Linked DNA regions of Astyanax mexicanus. The protein of the gene in region 2 interacts with the protein of the main gene of each other region in a pairwise test. Links are inferred from orthologs where the notes say so. Each region holds a gene or a part of one and is shown on either strand. Other genes may lie near its edges. The genes, in order: sox14 and naif1.

Region 1 (3,927 bases), on a different chromosome or scaffold from region 2:
AACATAAGTTACTTTGAGTATATTGAACTATGTTGTATTAGCACAATTTGCCGATTTATAACCTTACACGTATCCAAACTCGCTCTTGAATGAATTTGTCACCAAAATATTAACCTCCCGTAAAAGTTCAACATACCAAACGATATTAAATTATTTTTGAAGACAGATTGTCTTTATTCAAAACGTCTTTGCTCTGCAAATGAACAAAGAATCGAGGTATCCCCCTTCTGATACAGTTTCCTTTTCCATAACATTACATCAGATTAAGATTTAAAAAATCATCATTGTAATAATAATAATCATAATAATAATGAGCACGACATTAACTGCTTCGCTTCAGACTTTCACTTCTTTCTCAAATGAAATGAACGTGGGACAAGCACTGAACCACAAGATCAAATAAAAACAAAAAACAAAAATACTGAAATAATATTTTTTTTCAACTTGAAGTTTCAACAGCCTGTCTAATCTCACGTGTGTGCCTATAAACCCGTATCTTCATTAAAACTCAAAGAAATGTCCTAATTTAGATCCAAATTTCAGAAAATATCAGTACATCGTTCAGAAGAGATCTAAAGAAGAAACATGGAGAGACATGAAGGCTAAACATTACTTGTGCAAACCCAAATTCGCCTTTTTTAAATAACAGCAATAATATTAATCATAGTCGAAAAAACAAACCAAAAATATCCTTATTATAATAGCATCAAAATGTACATAATAAATAAAGCTAAAGGCCTCCTTTTTATGCGTTTTTCTTTTTTCTCTCGTTGTTGTTCGGTAGCCGTTAATAAAGGTTAATAACATTTACAAAGTTCTTACAGTCACCTGCTCTCAGCTCTCTCAACTCCATGCAGAAGGTCCCGGAGCGTCCTGGAGGAAACGATAATAAAAAACGAAAAATAATATATATACACACCAAAAAAAAATCTGAACTCCAAGATTTTTCTCCAGTCCGATCAGACCTCCGTCAATGTTTTTGAGTTCGCTTCTGTCTCTGTTAATTATTTATTATTTTTATTTTAATAATGGAGCAGTTTTATGTACATGCCACTGCATTCAAGTTTCTGGGGAGGCGGAAAAGTGTCCGTTTAATCTTTTTATTGTTTTCATTTTCGTTTTTGGAAGAAATTGTTGTTTTTCCTCCTTTCGAGAAGAAACGAAAAAAAGTCTTTTTTTCCTCCTCCAGTTGTTGCAATTTTTCCCTTTGCTTTGTAGAAGAAACTTCCTTTAATTTTTTAACGGATAAAAATGTCATTTCTCCCACTGTTTTTTTTTTAACAATTGTCAGCATACCCATCTTCTAGTCAAGAACAAACTGTCAGTTTCCTCTTCTTTTATAAATAGGCTATATGTTTATGACCTCGTATATTACCACCCGTTTTCTCTACATGGCCGTGGCGTGCGCAGAGGGGTAGGGGTCAAGCCCACTCTTGCCCATACCGGGAAACAGGATGTAGGCGACCGGCGGCTGGAGCGCTCCTCCCGCGGACCACGCGCAATTGCAGGGCACCACGTAGCCCGGGTTGGTCGGGGACGGGTGCGTGTGCGTGGCGGCGTGCGGTCCTGCCGCGTGCTGCGACTGCTGCGTCTGCTGCTGAGTCTGCTGGGCCGCCTGGTGGCTGGCGAACGCGCCGGTGCTCTGGTGGTAGCCGAGCGAGGACGCGTAGGGCAGGGAACTGAGCGAGCTCAAGGCGTACGGGGTCATGTCGCCGGCCAGCTTGCTCATGCTGCTCGCGCCGAACTGGCCGGGGTCGAGGAGTGAGTAGGGCGATGTGACGGCTGAGGGGGGCAGGAAGGCTCGCGCCGCTGCCGCCTTCTCCAGAGCGTGATCGGCGACACTGGTGGGTACCGGAAGTGCCGCCTTCAGGTGTTCGGCGTCCGCCAGGTAAGGCAGAGGGAAGACGTAGCGCTCCTTCTTCAGGAGGTTTTTGGGCTTGCGCCTCGGCCTGTACTTGTAGTCCGGGTGCTCCTTCATGTGCTGCGCGCGGAGCCGCTTGGCCTCGTCGATGTAGGGCCGTTTCTCGGACTCCGTGAGCAGCTTCCACTCGGCGCCCAGCCGCTTGCTGATCTCAGAGTTGTGCATCTTCGGATTCTCCTGAGCCATCTTCCTTCTTTGCCCACGCGACCACACCATGAACGCGTTCATGGGTCTCTTGATGTGATCGACCGGCTTGGACATGGTGATGTCTGCGTCGGCGGCGGCAGGGGATGAGGTGGCGGCAGGGGAGCGCGGGCTCCCGCCCAAATAACGGTGCAAATAATAATTAGTAATAATTACGGTGAATATAACAACGCGCGCGTGTGTGAATGTTCAGCCGTGTTGGCAGAAGATGAAGACGGCGATCATGCCACTTCACGCGCTCAGAAAAAGAGCATGAGTGCCGAACCAAACATCCGAAATGTTCTTTCAGAGAAATACTTTCAGAAAAAAAAGTTGCTTAAAGTTATGTTCTCGTCCTCTTCTTCTGCACTTAAGCTTCAGACAGAGGGAGAAATAGAAAGAGAGAAAAATAGAGAGAGAGAGTGAGGGAGAGTGACAGAAAGAGAGAGAGAGAAAGAAGGAGAGAGAGTCCAAAAATCCACTCAGGTGAGGCAACAGCAGCAAAAGAAGCTCCGAAAAAGTGAAACAGCTCCCCACTCTAAACGCGCGCGCGAGCGTGTGTGTGTACGAGTGAGTATGTGTGTGTGTGCGCGCGCGAGTGTGTGTATCTCAGTGTGTGTGTTTTTCCTGCTCTCGCTGAAGCACCTGGCTGTGAATGAGCGCCAGAACGCGGCGGAGCTTCAAACGCGCCGAAGCCGCTTTGGTGTGTGAGCACGGTGTTGGGGAGGGGGCGGGGCCAGGAGACTTAAGCGACCAATCAAAGGAGAGAACAGGAAGCAGAATACCTTCGGAAAAAAAAATAAAAAAAGAAAAGAAAAAAATGTATAGGGATATTACCAAGGCAAATAAAGATAGGGGAGGGATCCGCCCGCGCCCTCACGCGCATACACACCCAGACACACACCTGAAACATTTCCCCAGCATGAATAAATAAAAACAACAACAACAAATCTAAAAAAATAACAGATGTTAATAAATTTGTTAGACAGATGATTTAATTTCGGCATGTGTGTTAATATTAATTGATTAATTAATTGGTTGCAATAAAAAAACAAACAAACAAACAAAAAAAAAAAATATATATATATATATATATATATATTAATTTATATACTGAAAAAATACATCCAATTTTTGTATATGTATATGTTTTAAGCATTTTTCGTATTATTGCCAGATGGTATTATACCATTATACTTTTTTACAATAGTAAAAAAATATATAATTGATTCTTAATTTATAATTTGCACGTTTTTTTACAAAGGCACTGGTACCGTTTAAAAAAAATCGAGACAGCTGATAATTTCAAAGTACTGTTTTTTATTATTGTATTCCTATTTTATTAACGTCTTTACACATATTTTCAGCACTTCTATGAAATGTCGCTTGTGCATTTACTCCACGAATTTACAGCCGGATGTGTTAAAATTTCTTTAAAATCACATGTAATTGTAACCCCATTAGAACGGTCTTCAAACATATATATAAGGCAATGAAGTGAAGAGTCCCTGGGGTCGCTGTCTGAGAAAGAGCCCTCGGGACAATATTTATTAATATTTATTAAAGCGGAATGATAGTCTAGATCTCCCGTGAGACACGGAAAGGGCTGGGTTGGGATTTAGGGTTGGGTTTAAAATTGGTGTTGGTCTTAGTGTTGGGTTTATAAATGAGTTTGCTTATGCGTTGTGATTTTAGGTCTGGATTCGTATTATTTGAGATTTGAGGTTTTCAGAACAGTCGGTTTCCGAGTCATATATAAATTTAACATTTCAATTTTAGATGCAACGTGTCACTAAATAATTTATTAATTTTACGATTCTTTT
Region 2 (3,927 bases):
CAGATTTGTGTGAAATTAATTCTGGCCACGCATGTAAAATTATAATAAAAGCCCGACTCCTGGCTACAGGTTTCAGCAGTCACGTACAGTCTTCAGTCTCCACACACAGACGAGCACTCGACTGATGAGGCACTATTTACCTGCATAACTTAACACACACTTTCACACACACTCTCACACACTCTCACACACATTTACACACACACTCTCTCACATTCTCTCAGGAACAAAATAACTTACAGGTTCAAGCATTCTCCAACAAACACAAACACACTCCATTAATTCATTCATTCATTTACATCAGAGAACTCAGTCCAGTCTACTGTCCGTCATCCGGCTGCTGCGTCACGTTCCCCCCTCCCTCTCCGGCCTCGACTCCGGCTCCCGCACTGTTGGCGCTCTGCAGGAACTTCCTCAGGTCCTTCAGTGCCGGTCTGAACATCTGAATCAGCGCCAGCAGCGCCGCCTGCGTGCCCTCCAGCGCCTGGGCCTGTCTCTCCTGGGCGCAGGCCTGCGCCTCCTGCGAGCGGCGGATCATCTGCAGCAGGTCGTTCTGGTTCTCCAGGTGCTGGGCGATCTCTCGGACGTGCAGGTTGGTGATGCGCTGCTCCTGCAGCAGTTTGGCCGAGTTCAGGGCGATGCGGCTCTTCAGCTCCTGTGGTTTTACGGAGTTATCTGCCTGAGCCGCCAGCATCTCCACCGGGGCTTCTGTGGTGACCGTGACGGGGGTTTCCGTGGTGCAGTACTCCACCATTCCCTCCTCCAGCGTGTGATACGTCGTCTCAGCTGCTGAACCCCAACACAGAAACACAGAAACACACAAACAACAAACACAAAATAAGATAACCAGTTAATCTAAACAGTTTTTATAACCAGAGTCCAACCTGTTTATTTGCAGTTTTGCAGTATTTGGCAAAAATGACAAAGACGACTTACCGTCTAATGTTTTAATTTCACAAGCTGTTCCGGCTGCTGGTTGGATACCTGTTGGTACAGAGAAAACATCTCTACACTAATGCTATTGATATTGTTTTTATATATAGTCCAGTACGCTATATGACTACTAATTCTGTTCTTTTTATTATTGTTTAGATCATTATTATTAATAATATTAATAAAAACACAAAAATCAGTGTTTCAGAAAATTTGAATACTATAATTATATTATAAGACCAGTTACAGGTACTTTTTTTTCCAGTGTGGGCAGTGTGTGCAGTGTGCCAAGTCCTGCTGGAAAATGAAATCCTCATCTCCATAAAAGAAGTTGTTGTCAGCAGAGGGAAGCTGTAAGATTTGATAATAAAACACAGTGGATCAACACCAGCAGATGACATGGCTTACAGCACTTCATGCTTCTCTCTGCTAACGTTTATTATATATAAATAATTTTTTTATGGAGATGCGGATTTCATTTTCCAGCAGGACTTGGCACACTGCCCACACTGGAAAAAAGTACTAATTGGTCTTATAATATACATAATATATATATTATAATATTCTAATTCCTTTCTGAAACACTGTTTTGGTTTTTTTTTTATTGGCTATAATCCATAATAATTATAATCATCAACAATAAAAGAAATAAACGCTTAAAATAGATGACTATTATGTACAATACATCTATATAATATATGAGTTTCATATTTAGAATTTTGATCTGAATTACTGAAATAAAGTAACGTTAACTTTTTTTTAATTAAATAATTTTTATATTATAATTTTTTTAGATGCAGTAGTATATATATATATATACACATATATATAGTTATATAGCTATGTCAGGGTTATAACGTCACGCTCTGTGTTTTTTTTTTTTCAGTCTCGGTTAAATCGCGCGCGGTAACGCTGTTATCTTACTTTGCGTCAGAGTGACGGCGGCGGCGGAACTGATGGGAACGGGCACGGTCATCTCGGCCGGCGGGTCTCCCGGTTCTCCGGCGGGCAGGCTGATGATCGTCGCCTCCCCGAGCAGGTTACAGATCCGCTGCTGCATGGCGGTGAGGATCACGGGCACCGTGCCGCAGTCCTCCGTGCCCTCCATGGCCGCGCGCGCCTGCGCCACTTTCCGCCGGACCTCCGTCTTCAGATCCGACCACTTCTTCTTCACCTCCGCGAGCTCGCGCTGGCAGTTGGTCACGGCGTTCACGCGCTTCAGGATCTCGAGCCAGGCTCCGTTTTTCGCGATGTGAGAAACGCCGGCGTTAAAGTGATTAACCAGCACGTGCTTCTGCTTCTCCATCTCCTCCACTATAATCTCCACCTCGCGCTCCGAGAAGTTCATCTTCCGCTTCTTCGCCTGAGAGGCCATTAATAATCTTTAATTAGGACTTAAGGAAAGTAAAAAAAGTGCGTACCGTACGCAAAAACAGTACGTGTTTTCCGCGGCGGAGCTGCGCAGCGTAATGGCTTCCTGAATCGACTTCTTCTTCCAACAACAACGCTTGCGTCCGTAATGGCCGAAAGCCCGCCCACTTTAGAAACGTGGTTTGTTATTGGCTGTGGCGTTTGGCGAGCGTGACGAGATCCCTCCCTATTGGCTGAACAACCCGTCACTCTTAACACACTCCGGCGGTTTACTACGCAAGGCGACGAAGCACCATAATAACACAATAACCATAATAACACAATAATTATAATAATAACACAACAGTACTGATAGAGGGTCTGGATCCAAAAATTAAAAACAATAATTAATGATCATCTGATTTTGTACTCATCTTTTATATTGGGGGGAAAAAAGAGAAAAAAATATATTTTTCCTACTAATGTTCTCTGAATACAGTGAAGTGAAATATCTAATTTTTTAAATATTTAATATTTTGTGGCTTTTTATATTTTATTTTATTGTAGTAAATTGTATACATTAAATACAAATTCACTTAGCCTACGTATGTTATAATGTGTTTTTATATAAATAATTTTGTTTGTATTCTATAAAAGTGGGTTGGGACTTAATGACTATAAGAAAATGAGGGTCCCGGGCTGAGAGCAGTTTAGAACCCCTGTCATTCACTTTTTAAATCCAACGTTGATTCGATATTAATATCAATGTTGATTCAACGTTAAAATGCCAGCTGGGAGAATATAGATTTGGCTACATTTTTGTTCATTATTAACATTGTTTTTATGACCCAATAAATGTTTTAAAAACCTGTATTCTGTATAATAATTTGGAACGACATATTTTGTGTTCTTTTAAAAATATCAATACATATATTTCCATAAAAAGAAAAACAAAAATTGCATTGTGCATAATCATTTATTTTGTCACTATAAAGGGGCCTTATGTGGATATTTTAACATTGAAATAATACACTTTAAAAATCCTCCAGTTTATCATTTTTTTCATACAGTGCAGTTTAAAAACAACGTCCACATGGTGGCGCCATAGAACAACAAATGTAATAGAATTATTTTAGGTGTTACATTCTTGTCAAACTCCCAAAACATGGGCATACTTGTATAACTGTATACTTTTTGGACTTATATATAATGGATATATATATTACAATTCAATTGCCATAGCTTGGAACCACATTTAAATAACAAAAAAATGAATGACAAATGTTAATTGTTTATTGTCCCAACTTTTTCAGAAGACTTGACGCTGTTAAAGCGAAAACTATAGTATATATAGTTTTGTATTTATTATATTTTCCCGCATTTTCACCCTGGTGTTCTTGAGCACTTGTTGATTTCAGGAAAAGTCCAGACAAAGGTAACCAGTGCCATCGTTTAACAGTTGGCACAGCCTCTTTAAACTGTCATCTATAAAACAACCTTTACTCCTGAATGCCACGATGTTGGAACTCTACCAGGGTGTATTTTGTTTGCTGCCATGCACTGATGCACTAATGCACCTGTTATTCTCCAGCAGGGTTGAATGAATAGCACAGATTGCCCTTTGCTGGTGGATTGAGTTATGTG

What was found.
Region 1: the proteins of naif1 (region 2) and sox14 interact in binary tests that used the Homo sapiens proteins (3 or more experiments, as listed by UniProt). The two-hybrid records come from large-scale screens. The link is inferred for Astyanax mexicanus from reciprocal best matches to the Homo sapiens genes NAIF1 and SOX14.

Annotation. Positions count from the first base shown.
Region 1 is NC_064412.1:49,528,884-49,532,810, reverse strand, and holds sox14 (transcription factor Sox-14), read right to left. Parts: upstream 2,802-3,927; 5' UTR 2,183-2,801; coding exon 1,388-2,182; 3' UTR 151-1,387; downstream 1-150. UniProt on the Homo sapiens protein: Acts as a negative regulator of transcription.
Region 2 is NC_064419.1:330,929-334,855, reverse strand, and holds the start of naif1 (nuclear apoptosis-inducing factor 1), read right to left. Parts: upstream 2,439-3,927; 5' UTR 2,309-2,438; coding exon 1,858-2,308; intron 985-1,857; coding exon 937-984; intron 790-936; coding exon 320-789; 3' UTR 1-319. UniProt on the Homo sapiens protein: Induces apoptosis.